Linked DNA regions of Anolis sagrei. The main gene of each other region encodes a partner of the protein of the gene in region 2 in a complex. Links are inferred from orthologs where the notes say so. Each region holds a gene or a part of one and is shown on either strand. Other genes may lie near its edges.

Evidence for each region.
Region 1: the proteins of MAPK10 (region 2) and SH3BP5 are in contact, whole or in part, in a crystal structure (PDB 4H3B), measured with the Homo sapiens proteins. The link is inferred for Anolis sagrei from reciprocal best matches to the Homo sapiens genes MAPK10 and SH3BP5. Residues at the interface, in NP_620448.1 of Homo sapiens: Lys121, Asp150, Ala151, Gln155, Val156, Met159, Leu161, Glu164, Arg165, Tyr168, Tyr171, Val197, Lys198, Ser199, Asp200, Cys201, Trp362, Asp364, Glu367; in NP_004835.2 of Homo sapiens: Val341, Val342, Arg343, Pro344, Gly345, Ser346, Leu347, Asp348, Leu349, Pro350.

Annotation. Positions count from the first base shown.
Region 1 is NC_090026.1:80,094,105-80,101,326, forward strand, and holds the start of SH3BP5 (SH3 domain-binding protein 5), read right to left. Parts: upstream 3,203-7,222; 5' UTR 3,026-3,202; coding exon 2,924-3,025; intron 1-2,923. UniProt on the Homo sapiens protein: Functions as a guanine nucleotide exchange factor (GEF) with specificity for RAB11A and RAB25. Inhibits the auto- and transphosphorylation activity of BTK. Plays a negative regulatory role in BTK-related cytoplasmic signaling in B-cells.
Region 2 is NC_090025.1:19,261,079-19,268,395, forward strand, and holds the start of MAPK10 (mitogen-activated protein kinase 10), read right to left. Parts: upstream 3,112-7,317; 5' UTR 2,422-3,111; intron 2,258-2,421; exon of another isoform or gene 2,106-2,257; intron 1-2,105. UniProt on the Homo sapiens protein: Serine/threonine-protein kinase involved in various processes such as neuronal proliferation, differentiation, migration and programmed cell death.

The DNA.
Region 1 (7,222 bases), on a different chromosome or scaffold from region 2:
AAAAAAGCCATTTCAAATGCATGTTTCGGGTTTTTAGGAGCACTAGTCAGACATGTCAAAAGATGAATTTACAACTGCATTTCAAACTTTGCTTTTTTGTTATCAAGCTGGTTCTAGCAAAAACACATTTATATCTTTCTATTCACTGCTTCCTCCAGAATGCTTTTTTTCTATGCTAATAATATAATATGTTGTATGTGTGTGTGTGTGTGTGTGTGTGTGTGTGTGTGTATATATATATATATATATATATCATAAGCTGCTCTGAGTCCCTTTGGGGTGAGAAACTGCAGGTTTATAAATGCCATAAATAAATTAATAAATAGTTGTTAAGTCATTACATGCATTTCATCACTTGTGATGCTCCTGAGCTTTCACTACACCTGTTCCCAAGTGTATATCTACTTTGGATGCAAGACAATGCATGTCTCTTCTGGATACGCATTCACAAATACATGCGCCACCTTCAAATGTTCTTGTAGTGCACCTTATAGACGTGGCATCTCTTTTGTCCTACTCTAACCTTTCCTGTTATTTCCATTTCCAACAAAAGTCCACTTTGTAGGGCAGCCGACCCAGGTGAGGCGGCTGCTTCAGGCTGCAGATTTCAAGCATTGTGACAAGCTGTTGTGGTGACATTTTATACTGCTACTAGACGTCCCCTGCCATGCATTGCTGTGGCCATGTCTATGTATATGTGTTTTGTGTGTGTATATATATTTGTATATATGTGTATACATGTGTGTTTGCATATATATGTGTGTGTGTGGTTCTGTGCATGCGTTGTAATGTATTGTGGGCTTGGCCTAATGTAAGCCGCACCAAGCCCCTTGGGGAAATGATAGCGGGGTACAAATAAAGTATTATTATTATTATTATTATTATTATTATGTAGTTTTTATTTTTTTGATTTTATGTCCCTTACGTTCTGATTTTCAATGTTTTTATGAGTGATGGTTATTCTTTGGCCTGATAGGTGTATTATATCCAAATTTGGTGTCAATTCATCCAGTGGTATTTGAGTTATGTTAATCCCACAAACGAACATTACATTTTTATTTATAGACTAGCTGTCCCCTGCCACATGTTGCTGTGGCCCAGTCTAGTGATCTGGAAAATAAAGTAATGAGAAAGTGTTGGTTTCTAATATATGTAATTTCTTTCTGCTTGTGGATAAACAGTATTTCTTGTTGTTTCTTTGTCAGTGTTGATGTAGAGATTGTCTAGTTTGCCTACTCTGGAACATACTGTTGTCCTTCTTTAGGAGTCCCTTTCAAATCTATGACACTATATCTGTCATATACATATGAGTGTGTGTGTGTGAATTATCTATCTATCTATATTATTTATCTATATATGGCTGGATGGCTCTTTGTCAGGAGGGCTTTTAATATGTTTTCTTGCCCTGGTGAAGGGAGTTGGACTGGATGGCCTTAAGGCCTGGGGGTTGGGACCTCTGGGGGGGGGGGTCCCAAGGGGGTGTCAGAAGGGTCACCAAAGACCACCAGAAAACACAGTATTTTCTGTTGGTCTTGGGGGGTTTGTGTGGGAAGTTTGGCCCCATTCAATTGTTGGTGGGGTTCAGAATGCTCTTTGATTGTAGGTGAACTATAAATCCCAGCAACTACAACTCCCAAATGTCAAGATCTATTTTCCCCGAACTCCATCTGTGTTTATATTTGGGCATATGGAGTATTTGTGCCAAGTTTAGTCCAGATCCATCATTGTTTGAGTCCACAGTGCTCTCTGGATGTAGATGAACTACAACTTCCAAACTCAAGGTCAATGCCAACCAAACCCTTCCAGATTTTTTTGTTGATTTTGGGAGTCCTATGTGCCAAGTTTGGTTCAATTCCATCATTGGGGGTGTTCAGAATGCTCTTTGATTGTAGGTGTACTATAAATCCCAGTCACTACAACTCCCAAATGATAAAATCTTTTTTTTTTTGAGTGATGGCCACTCATTGGGTTGTTAGGCGTATTCTGTCCAAATTTGGTGTAAATTCGTCCAGTGGTTTTGGAGTTATGTCAATCCCACAAACTAACATTACATTTGGCTGTAGGTGAACTACAATTCCCAAACTCAAGGTCAATGCCCACCAAACTCTTCCAGAATTTTTTGTTGATTTTGGGAGTCTTTGAGTGATGGTCACTCATTGGGTTGTTAGGCGTATTCTGTCCAAATTGGGTGTAAATTCGTCCAGTGGTTTTGAAGTTATGTTAATCCCACAAACTAACATTACATTTCGATGTAGGTGAACTACAATTCCCAAACTCAAGGTCAATGCCCACCAAACCCTTCCAGAATTTTTTGTTGGTTTTGGGAGTCCTTGGTTCAATTCCATCATTGGTGGAGTTCAGAATGCTCTTTGATTTTAGGTGAACTGTAAATCCCAGCAACTACAAATCCCAAATGACAAAATCCATTGTTTTGAGTGATGGTCACTCCTAGGGGTAGTGGGTATATTTTGTCCAAATTTGGTGGCAATTTGTCCAGTGGTTTTGGAGTTATGTTAACCCCACAAAGGAACATTACATTTTTAGATAGAGATAGAGAGATAGAAGGAAGAGGCATTGGTGATGAGGCTTGCTGCCTATTAACGCCTAAGCACCTTAAGTGGATCTACACCAGGCCTGGGCAAACCTGGGCCCTCCAGGACTCCCACCATTCCTAACATCCGTTGGAAGTCCAAAATACCTGGAGGGGCTTCCTTTCCCGAACCCCAGAAAGAGAGAGAATGGGGGAGAAGGGAGACGCCCCCAAGGCAAGAGACTGGGCTGGACTGGCACGCGGCTGCAAGGGGAGAAGAAAGGGGAGGCTCATCCAAACGCTGACACTGCCGCAAAAACACACCCAGCAAGCAGCCATTGGGGAAGGGTCTCCTTCAGGGGTCCTCTGCAGCCCCTTCCCGCTCCCCTTTACCTGGATCCGGGGGTCCACTTCTTCCTCCTCCTCCTTTTCCTGCGGCTGCTGCTGTGGCTGCTCGCCCTCCTCCGCCTTGTTCTTCCTGGCAGCAGGCTCCATGTCGGTCGCAAGAGGGGTCTTTCTGGCGAGGAAGGGCGAGGAAGGGGGGGGGGGAAGAGGGTCTTTCTCCCCCCAAATCCGCTCCTTCGGCAGAACAAGCGCTCTGCCACGCTCTGCCTGCCTCTCCTTTCCCCTTCTGTCTCTCCTTTGCGGCGCTGCTTATGCTTCCCGCTCCTCGCCGCTAGGTGCCGCTAAGGAAGGAAGGAAGGAAGGCGGAGGAACTGAGCCTCACTCTTGGGCTGCGGCTGCTCTTTCTGTCGCCTGCTCCACCTGCTGCCGAGGGAATTTTATTGTGCAGTGTTTTTATGACTGTTTGTGGCAATGCCCAAACGTGAACACTGGTGGAGTTTGGGGAAAATCGACCTTGACATTTAGGAGTTGTAGTTGCTGTGGTTTGTAGTTTGTCTACAATCTAAGAGGCTCTAGAACAGTGGTTCACAACCTGGGGGTCGGGACCGCTGGAGGGGTCACGAGGGAGTGTCAGAGGGGTCACTAAGGACCATCAGAAAACGCAGTATTTTCTGTTGGTCATGGGGATTCTATGTGGGAAGTTTGGCCCAATTCTATCATTGGTGGGGTTCAGAATGCTCTTTGATTGTAGGTGAACTATAAATCCCAGCAACTGCAACTCCCAAAATGTCAAGGACTATTTTCCCCAGACTCCACCAGTGTTCACATTTGGACATATTGAGTATTCATGCCAAGTTTAGTCCAGATCCATCATTGTTTGAGTCCATAATGGTCTCTGGATGTAGGCAAACTACAACTCCAAAACTCAAGGTCAATGTCCACCCAAACCCCTCCAGTATTTTCTGTTGGTCATGGCAGTTCTGTGTGCCAAGTTTGGCCCAATTCAATCGTTGGTGAAGTTCAGAATGCTCTTTGATTGTAGGTGAACTATAAATCCCAGCAACTACAACTTCCAAATGGCAAAATCAACCCCGCCCCCCCAACCCCACCAGTATTCAAATTTGGGCATATCAGTCCAGTGAATGAAAATACATCCTGCATATCAGATATTTACATTATGATTCATAACAGTAGCAAAATGACAGTTATGAAGTAGCAACAAAAATAATTTTATGGTTGGGGGTCAGCACAACATGCGGAATTGTATTAAGGGGTCACTCCACCAATGATAGAATTGGGCCAAACTTCCCACACAGAACAACAGACAATATTGTGTTTTCTGATGGACTTTGGTGACCTCTCTGACATCCTCTCACAATCCCCCCCCCCCCCCAAGGGTCCCAGCCAGGTTGAGAAACACTGGTATATGGCATTGAATATTTGTCTTTGTATTGGAAGCTGCCCTGCATCCCTTCGGGGAGAGAGGGCAGGTTCAAAATATATTATTATTATTATTATTATTATTATTATTATTATTATTATTGCTAGAGGATGGAAAGACAAATGGAAATGGACGTTAAGTAATTGGAATGATTATATGTATGACCGAGTGTTGTTAGATATTACGGGAATTATGACTAACCAAGCACCAAGAATGGATGAAGAAAAGATAATTATAAACAGATGGAAGGTCTGCTTCAACTGGGTGAAAAATGGAAGAGCCAACGATCACATCAAAGAAAAAATACAAAGACTCTACAAGTGGCTGGATCTGCAAGATTAGTAGAAATATACTGTGGTTGAGGAGGGAAGGTGGGGATAATGTAATCTACACCAGTGTAAATTAGCATAATGTCTTTAATATTTGTTGAATTACTCAGGATTTATATGTGTAACACTTGAAATTTAGCTTATTGATTTGTGTTTATAACATAAGAAAATATGTTTTTAAAAACCTACTGATTAAGGAGATGCATAACAAATTGACTACATAGCAAAAATGTAATTTATCATGGGTGGGGAAAAAATTTTGAATGTCATTATTGCCAAAGCTCATTCTTTTTATTCCAAGTTATTTCAATTAAAATATATCGTTAAAATCTTTTTTAAAAATTATTATTATTATTATTATTATTATTATTATTATTATTAGAAAAACAACAAGATGAGTCCACAGCAAACAAGATCACTCTGCTGGCTTTTATATTGGATCACACGTCGGACACTTCCCAAGTATCTAGGACTGTGTGATGTATCGGCGAATAATGTGTGCAGATCCCAGTAAGGTGGCCTTTTGCAGCTGGCAGATGGTAATTTTGTCAGCGCCGGTTGTGTTTAAATGCAGGCCAAAGTCTTTAGGCACTGCACCCAATGTGCCAATTACCACTGGGACCACATTTACTGGCTTGTTCCAGAGTCTTTGCAGTTATTATTATTATTATTATTATTATTATTATTATTATTATTATGAGCCACATAGTTAAAGCAATGGTATTCCCCGTAGTAACCTATGGATGTGAGAGCTGGACCATAAGGAAGGCTGAGCGAAGAAAAAATTGAACTGTGGTGTTGGAGAAAAGTTCTGAGAGTGCCTTGGACCGTGAGAAGATCCAACCAGTCCATACTTCAGGAAATAAAGCCCGACTGCTCATTGGAGGGAAGGATAGTAGAGGCCAAGATGAAGTGCTTTGGCCACATCATGAGAAGACAGGAAAGCTTAGAGAAGACAATGATACTGGGGAAAATGGAAGGAAAAAGGAAGAGCAAGATGGAAAGATTGTGTGATGTATTGGTGAATAATGCATGCAGATCCCAGCAGGGTGGCCTTTTGCAGCTAGCAGATGGTAATCTTGTCAGTGCCAATTGTGTTTAAGTGCAGGCCAAGGTCTTTAGGCACTGCACCCAGTGTGCCAATCACCACTGGGACCACCTTTACTGGTTTGTGCCAGGGTCTTTGCAGTTCGCTATTATTATTATTATTATTATTATTATTATTATTATTATTAAGGAGGCCCTGGCTTTGTTCTGTCTTTTTATGTGGCTCTCTCCCGATGCTGGACGACAACAACAAGTCCTGTTTTCTTCATAAATTAGACATTATAACCAAAGCTGGAAGTTGTGATATAGTACATTTTGGTCAGATGAAACAGTTTGCTCTGTTTAATCAGGAGTGTGGGGTTTGGAATGAGATAAAAGGCTTGTGGGATGATGTCTGGTTTTAAAATCCCTTAGAAATTTCCCCCACCTCTGAAACACAGGGGCATAGTATAGTTTTAGTCAGGCCTATTTTAATACGTTGCAATTCCCATTATCCCCAGTCCTCATAGCAGATAACACTATCTAACAAAATCTGGAGGGAAAAAATCTATTCCTGGTTTGAAAATTTTATTTCCTGTTTAATTGTTGGGTAATTGTTTTGAAAGTAGTTGCTATACTTCAGAAACTGGGTTTTTTTAAGGTTATTTTATATATATATATATATATATATATATATATATATATATATAAAGACTTTTCAGAATACAATAAAAAGAGGGAGTTGTCGTTCAATAACATCTGGGGATCCAAATGGGGTAAAAACCACAGAGCTCCAACCACTATGTAAAAACAAATGTACACACAGTCCCTAAGTTACAAATCAGATAGGTTCTATATGTTTGTTTTAAGTTGAATTTGTAAGTGGGAACAGGTACATTTTAAGTGTAACTCCAGACATATATATATATATATATAGAGAGAGAGAGAGAGAGAGAGAGAGAGAGAGAGAGAGCTTTGGATAGCCTAGGGAAGGGTTAACATCTCTGTAGTGTTTGCGTTGTCGAAGGCTTTCATGGCTGGAATCACTGGGTCGCTGTGATTTTTCTGGGCTGTATGGCGTATTCCAGAAGCATTCCAACAAAGGATTCCCCCAGGCAGGAAGCAGCCAAGTTTGAAGCTGCTAAGTTTTTCAGTGCTAATCAAGGTGGCCAACTGCAACATCCACACTTGCCTCCAACAGACAAGAGTCCTTTCTCCCAGCCTGGACATTCCACAAATATATAAACCCCACTTGCCTTGTTTCCAACAAACCTCACAACCTCTGAGGATGCCTGCCAAAGGTGAAGGCAAAACATCAGGAGAGTGCTTCTGGAACATAGCCATGCAGCCCAGAAAACTCACAGCAACCCAATAATCAAATGGTCAAATCCCATTGCAGAGTATTTTGACGAGGCTTGGTCTTAAAAGAACCATTAGGACCCTTTAACTTTTTAAAAGACTTCCTTTAGGTTGGGATAAACTGCCAAAACGAAGTTGTTGATCAACACACCTGCCTGTATTTTCTGGCCATTCTTTGAGGATGTGGCTACG
Region 2 (7,317 bases):
GGGAGGACGAGAACAACCAAGCACTCTACACCAGAAAAAAATGAGCAAGTATAATTTAGGGTTGTCAGATGTGTCCTGCTTTATTATTGGCACGTCTTATCCTAAGGGGACAGCCCCTCGCTTCACATCAGCAGCTCTCCTTTGCATTCCTTTGTTTTGAAATTTTAATCCAGCAGCTCTATGGATGGTACCTGATGGGGCAAAACTGGAAATACAACAAGGGGAAGGAGCCCTATGGAGGGAAAGAACTGTCAAACTCGAACACACACCATGGATTCTTCCGTCTCCAACTGCTTCCAACGTGCCCTAAAATCATTTCCTTCCTTCTTCATTCTCCTGTCATTGGAAGCAAGCCTGCTTGCATGTGGTTCAGCTCAACACAATCACTGTCTATCTTCCCTGTCAGCAGTTCTCTCTCTCTCTCTCTCTCTCTCTCTCTCTCTCTCTCATGCCCCCATCTTTATTGGCCTTGCATGAGAAGATCAGCAGACCCGTATAATCAAAACAGCGATGTTATCATCCACCCCTTTTATTTCTTTCCTTGGCCATCTTCATTTTCCTCTCCTTGAGGAGGAAAAAACCAAAACAGAAGAGACCAGGTTCTGTGTATGCATGCATGGATGAGCCATCTTTTTTGCAAGACACCAGAAAAAGAAATCACCCAGAGAGCCGGATGAGAAGATGGGAAAACTGCATTGGAGAAGCAACGGTGAGGCTCTGCAGCAAAAGGCACCCATGTAAACAAGCCTATGGCCACTGAGGATAAGAAAATAATAAAAAAATAATAAAGCATGCACACAAATGCAAACCCTCTCATTAGACCGATCCACTGAATTATGACCTCCAAGAGACAGCCATGCAAACTCTTTGTATCTTTTAACAGGGCCCGCATTGCAGAAAGGAGAAAAATGCTATCCGAACAAATTGTAAAAGCCGGGGCTGTCGAAAAGGCTATTCCGGTAAAAGCTCCATTGCTTTTGCTGCAGTCTTTAGATGCAATTGGAGAATGTCCCTTTACATGGCACAACCGGCTACCCACCCACTCACCCGCCCCCACTTCATGCTTGTCCTAAATTTTAGGTCTACCTTCAAAAGAAAGATGGATCTCTTATCCACTTTGCGTACATAGAATTGTTATGCAAGCCAGTGGGATGTTTATGTTCAGAAAGGACTTCCTGGTGACAAAAATAAAACCACTTGGATTTTCCATCCCCTTGTTTTCACCTCTGGACCCTCACCTTTATCTCATGCAGGGAGGGAGAAATATCCCACCAAGAGAGTTTTGGAGGGAGATACACTTTGGATTCCTTTTCAAGAGGGAGAGAGTAGAGGAAACAGAGAATAAGGTATGAGAATCAGGGAAGGAAAAGTGATTTTTTTAGAGAGAAAAACATTAATTATTATGTTTTGTTGTGTGTTTTCCAGGCTGTATGACCATGTTCCAGAAGCATTCTCTTCTGACGTTTTGCCTGCATCTATGACAGGCATCCTTGGAGGTTGTGAGGTCTCACAACCTCTGAGGATGCCTGTCATAGATGCAGGTGAAATGTCAGGAGAAGATGCTTCTGGAACATGGCCATACAGCCTGGAAAACTGAAAACAACCCTGTGATTCCAGCCATGCAAGCCTTCAACAATTACTAAGATAATTGTTACTAAGATAATTGTTACAATTACTAAAATAATAATTACTAAGATAATACTAAGACATTTACTAAGATAATACTAAGAAGGGATACAGCCCAAAAGACAGAAAACAACCCAGTGATTCCAGCCATGAAAGCGACAATACCTTAATTATTATGGTTACCTTGCCATCTTTGTTATGATGTGATCCACAACCCAACCCCCCCTTGCAAACAGATCCCATCCCTTGGCCCATGCTTCCCCGATTGAAAAACAAATAAACATGAAATAATGAGAGTCATGGTTCCTTTTCAAAGGACAGGAGAGGGAGGGGGGCGCGCACAGAGAGAAGCACAAGATACAGCAGAAGGAGCCCTGTGTTTACATCCCCCTCCACCCTCCTCCGGGAAGCCAATGCAGATCCTATCGCATCCCAAACCCGACCCAAAAGAGAGATGCAAACAAGCCGCGGCTACTAACCCCGACACCGGCCCAAAAGGATGCTGCCTTCCCGGTGGCCTGCGGTCCAGCTCTCGCCTCCCTGCTGCTTCTCTTAGCAGTTTACTTCATTAACCTGCCTCTCTCTCTCTATCTCTCTCTTTCTCTCTCTCTCCCTCCTCCACTCACGCACGCGCGCGCTCTCCCTCCTCCCCCTCCCCTCGATTATTTTTAACAGCAATCAATATTCATCAGCCCGCCTCCTCTCACAAAGACGAAGGGAAGGGAAAGGAGGGGGGTCTCAAAGCCCCAGCAGCCCCCCCCCCCTTCCCCATCTCTTCCCACATCCACCACCTACCATTCCAGTGCCTGCGCTCCAGACCCGCCTCTTGCCGGGGTCTTGGTTTGGCCCTCCTTGTGGCGACGTCAAGGGGTCTCTGGAAAGCGCCCCATTCTTACTGGGGAGGGAGAGAAGGGAAATGGGTAGCTTGGAGGGCTGGAAGAAGGGGATGGAAAGGAGAGAGGGGGATTGAGAGAGAGAGAGAGAGGAGAAAAGGAAAGAGGAGGATTTAGAGAATGGAGAACAGGAGATGGAAAGGAGAGAGGAGGATTGAGAGACAGGGAAGAACAGGGGATGGAAAGGAGAGAGGGGGAATTAGAGAGGGGAGAAATGGGGGTCTGTAGAGAGAGGTATAGAGAAAGGCGAAAGGAGAAAAGGAGGTGTATAGGGAGTCTGGTGATGGTCAACTATAGGAAGGTATATGTATTGGGGAGGAGAGGGGGTTGTAAGTGAGAGAGAGAACAGGAGGTGGAAAGGAGAGAGGGGGATTGAGAGAGAGAGAGGAGAAAAGGGGATGGAAAGGAAAGAGGAGGATTTAAAGAGAATGGAGAACAGGAGATGGAAAGGAGAGGGGGATTGAGAGAGAATGGAGGAAAGGGGATAGAAAGAAGAGGGGGGGATTGAGAGACAGGGCAGAACAGGGATGGAAATGACCCCCCTATTGAGAGAGAGGGGGAAGAAAAGGGGATCTGTTGAGAGAGAGATAGAGAGAAAGGCGAAAGGAGAAAAGGGGGTGTATGGTGATGGTCAACTATAGGAAGGTGTGTGTGTGGGGGGGGGAGGGGGTTGTAAGTGAGAGAGAGGAGAACAGGAGAGAGGAGGATTGAGAGAGAGGAGAGCAGGGGATAGGAAGGAAAGAGGAGGGTTTAGAGAGAATGGAGAACAGGAGATGGAAAGGAGAGAAGGGGACTGAGAGAGGGGAGAAAAGGGGATAGAAAGGAAAGAGAGGGGGGAGAAATGGGGATCTGCAGAGAGAGAGGTACAGATAAAGGCGAAAGGAGAAAAAGGGGTGTATAGGGAGTCTGATGTGGGGAGAAAGGGTTTTAAGTGAGAGAGAGGAAAACAGGAGATGGAAAGGAGAGAGGGAGATTGAGAGAGAGAGAGACGAACAGGTGATGGAAAGGAGAGAGGGGAAATTAGAGAGAGGGGAGAAAAAGAATCTGCAAAGAGAGAGGAGAGGTATAACGACGAAAGGAGAAAGGGGAGTGTATAGGGAATCTGGTGATGGTCAACTATAGGAAGGGATGTGTGTGGGGAGAGGGGGGTTTGCAAGTGAAGGAGGGATTTGGTGCCAAAGCTTATTCTTTTTGGAGATGGAGGCAAACGAAGCAATGGACTTCAAACTGGTGCGTAATATCAGTCACAGAAAGAAAGGGAGAGATGGAGAAAGAGAAGAGGAAGAGGAGGAGAAAGAAGCAGGAGGGACGGCTGGAAGGAAGGAAGGGAAGGTGTCCTGCTGAATCACCCTCTTTTACAATCTGGAGACCATTGGGCCTCGCTTGGTGGCGGCGCTGGAGAGGATGCTCCTGATGCTGCCGGCTGGACCATTGTGGGGAAAAGGAAGGGGGGGGGGAGCCGGCTTGGGGAATGGCGCTGCCATGGCAACGGGGAAGGAGCCCACGTGACGTCAAAGCCCAGCGAGGTCTCGGGAGGAGGGAGGGAGGGAGGGAAGGGGAGGGGAGGAGAGGGGGAGTCTAATCTGCAGCGCCAGCCATTGTATCTCCCTCCCCTCCTTTCCTGGTGAAATCTGCGAGGCCAAGGGGGGAAAAAATAGGAAAAAAGCAACGCTGAATAAGCTTCTGTGATGGTTTATCAGCAATAGCAGCTGGACTCTCAGGCCGAGTTGGCATGGAAGATGGCCAGAGCAATGGCCTTGGCTGGGCAGGGTGCTTATGACCTACTCAGAGCTTCCCACCACTGAGATGCAGCCCAGCCATGCACTAAATCCCAAAGTGCTTGATCTGGTCCAAGACAAGGACCACCTTGGTTTGCTCTTCGGTTCCACACCTTTCTCTTTCTGCATTCAGCTTTACCTTAGTAGGTTTGAGGCTACCTTTGGCCTCCCTATCCATGGATTCTGCATCTATCTACCCCAGGCTTGAGCAACTTGGGCTCTCCAGGTGTTTTGGACTTCAACTCCCACCATTCCTAACAGCCTCAGGCCCCTTCCTTTTCCCCCTCAGCCGCTTAAGCTGAAAGGAAAGGGCCTGAGGCTGTTAGGAATGGTGGGAGTTGAAGTCCAAAACACCTGGAGGGCCCAAGTTTGCCCAGGCCTGATCTACCCATTCCAAATAATCCCAGAAAGAATCTGAAAAGTAAAGCCTGCTTTTGCCATTTTATGTAAAGAATACCATTTTAATACTCCACTGTGTATATAACAGGGCTTGAGCACCCATAGATGTTAGGATCATTGGGGTCCTAGAACCCCATGGATACTATAATAATAATCTATATAAATAAAAATGTAGTGTTTGTTTGTGGGATTAACATAATTATTATTATTTTATTTTATTTTGGTTGCTTCTACCCCAACCTTCTCACCCCGGGATGGGGTGGGGGTGGTGTGGGGGACTCAGGGCGGCTTACAAAAGCAAGGCACAATTCGATGCCCGCATCACATATAGCAAAAGACAATAACATCAGTTAACAAAACAGCATTCTGGCAATAACAACAGTTAACAGAAAACAGTAATTAGTATAGGCAGAGACAACCATAAAACCAATAAAAGCAATAAAAACCAATACAAACCTCATTGATGGTCAGCGTTTCGCAATCTCATAGTTCAAAATTCCAATTCCACAATTGTCAGTCCTTTCAGTCCCATCCATCTGGCTGTCCATGTCTAATTGTCAGATTGCCCGAAGGCCTGGTCCCACAACCACATCTTTACCTTCCTCCTGAAGGAGAGGAGGGATGTTGATGCCCTAATTTCCCCCGAGAGTGAGTTCCACAGGTGAGGGGCCACCACTGAGAAGGCCCTGCTCCTCGTCCCCACCAGCCTCACTTGTGATAGCAGTGGGGTCGAGAGCAGGGCCTCCCCAGATGACCTCAAATTCCGGGGTGGGACATAGAGAGAGATACGTTCGGACAGATACGCTGGACCGGAACCATAACCAGCACCTAGAATTGTGCTTGGAATTTAACCGGCAGCCAGTGGAGCTGTCACAGCAGGGGGGTGGTATGCTCCCTGTATGTCGCTCCGGTAAGCAATCTGGCTGCTGCTCGCTGGACCAGTTGGAGTTTCCGAACAGTCTTCAAGGGCAACCCCACATAGAGTGCGTTGCAGTAGTCTATACGGGATGTAACAAGAGTGTGGACCACTGGATAACTCAAAAACCACTGGACGAATTGACAGGAAATTTGGACACAATACACCTATCAGGCCAACGAGTGACCATCACTCATAAAAACACTGAAAAACACAGCAGAAGGGACTTAAAAATCCAAAAAAAAGCTAAAAGATGCTACAAAGCATGTGCAAAAATGACTCTCCCTGGCAAACAAATCACACAATAGCATATCCACACTCTCTTCCGGAGTACAGCTCCCAGCAGCCCCTAGACCAGGAACTTTAGGAGAGGAGGATGATCCAAATGCACTGCTTCTAAGTGGCAAGCTTTCTTCTCCTTGGATTTCTTTGAGAGCATCCAAATCCCTGCATATTTCCCATTTCCTATTCCTGGACTGCAACTCCCAGCAATCCTCCAGATAAATCGATATAGATAGGTAGGTAGATGGATCAGGAGGACTGCTGGGTGTTGCAGTCCAAGAATAGGCAGAAAAGGAAGAAAGGGGAGAAAGCAGAAGGAAAAGAAAAGGGGGAAGGAAGGGAAGAGGAAGAGAAGGAAAGGAGGAGAGAAGGAAAGAAAAAAGGGAAGGAGAGAAAGAAAGGAGGAGAGAAAAAGGGAGGGAAGGTTGGCCACAGTAACGCGTGTAATATAATAATAAAACTTTATTTATACCCCACCACCATCTCCCCAAGTGAACTCGGGGCAGCTTACACAATGCCAAACCCAAAAATCACAACAAAGCAAATATACAACATAAAATAATACATCAATAAAATATAATAATAATAATAATAATAATAATAATAATAATAAACAGTACAAAATAGGCACACAATGCAATATAAAATCACAATAATAGAACACAATGGGCAAGGCCGGTTGCAAAGATTAAAATGTTTAAAAACTCTAGGTGAGATAAGTAATGTAGTGTATCTAGAAGGAGGTTCAAGTGGGATGAAACAATGGGGTTTAGTTGCACTAGAGGGTGAAATAAAGTGCATTCAAAGGAATTTTTATGTGTGGTTTAGTCAAGGTCAGGGATTATTGTTCATTCATTGAAGGCACACTGGAACAGCCATGTTTTTAGGCTCTTCCTGAAGTCTGCCAGGATGGGTGCTTGCCTCATTTCTCCGGGGAGCAAACTCCAGAGCTGAGGAGCCACCATAGAGAAGGCCCTCTCCCTCGTCCCCACAAGTCACACTTACAATGGGGGTGGGGGTGCGAGAAGGGCCGCTCCAGAAGATCAAAGGGATTATGTAGGTTCGTAGAAGGAAATGTGGTCACGAAGGTAGGCTGGTCCCAAACCATTCTAATAAAGTATAATGCTATACTTTATTTATTTATTTCCAGTATTTATATTCCACCCTTCTCACCCCCAAGGGGACTCAGGGCACATTACAGAACACATATATGGCAAACATTCAATGACAATTATACCATGACAATACAGACAACAGATAAAGGTATTTATATATGAGTTTCCCATTTTTCTGGCATCTTTGGAGGTTGTGCTCGGTTCCGGCCACAAGGGGTGCTATTGCTCCATCTCCTTGCCTAAAGGCTTTCTTTGTTCACAAACATTCCTCCTTTTTCTGATTGAAACATCATGCCTAAAACACCTCT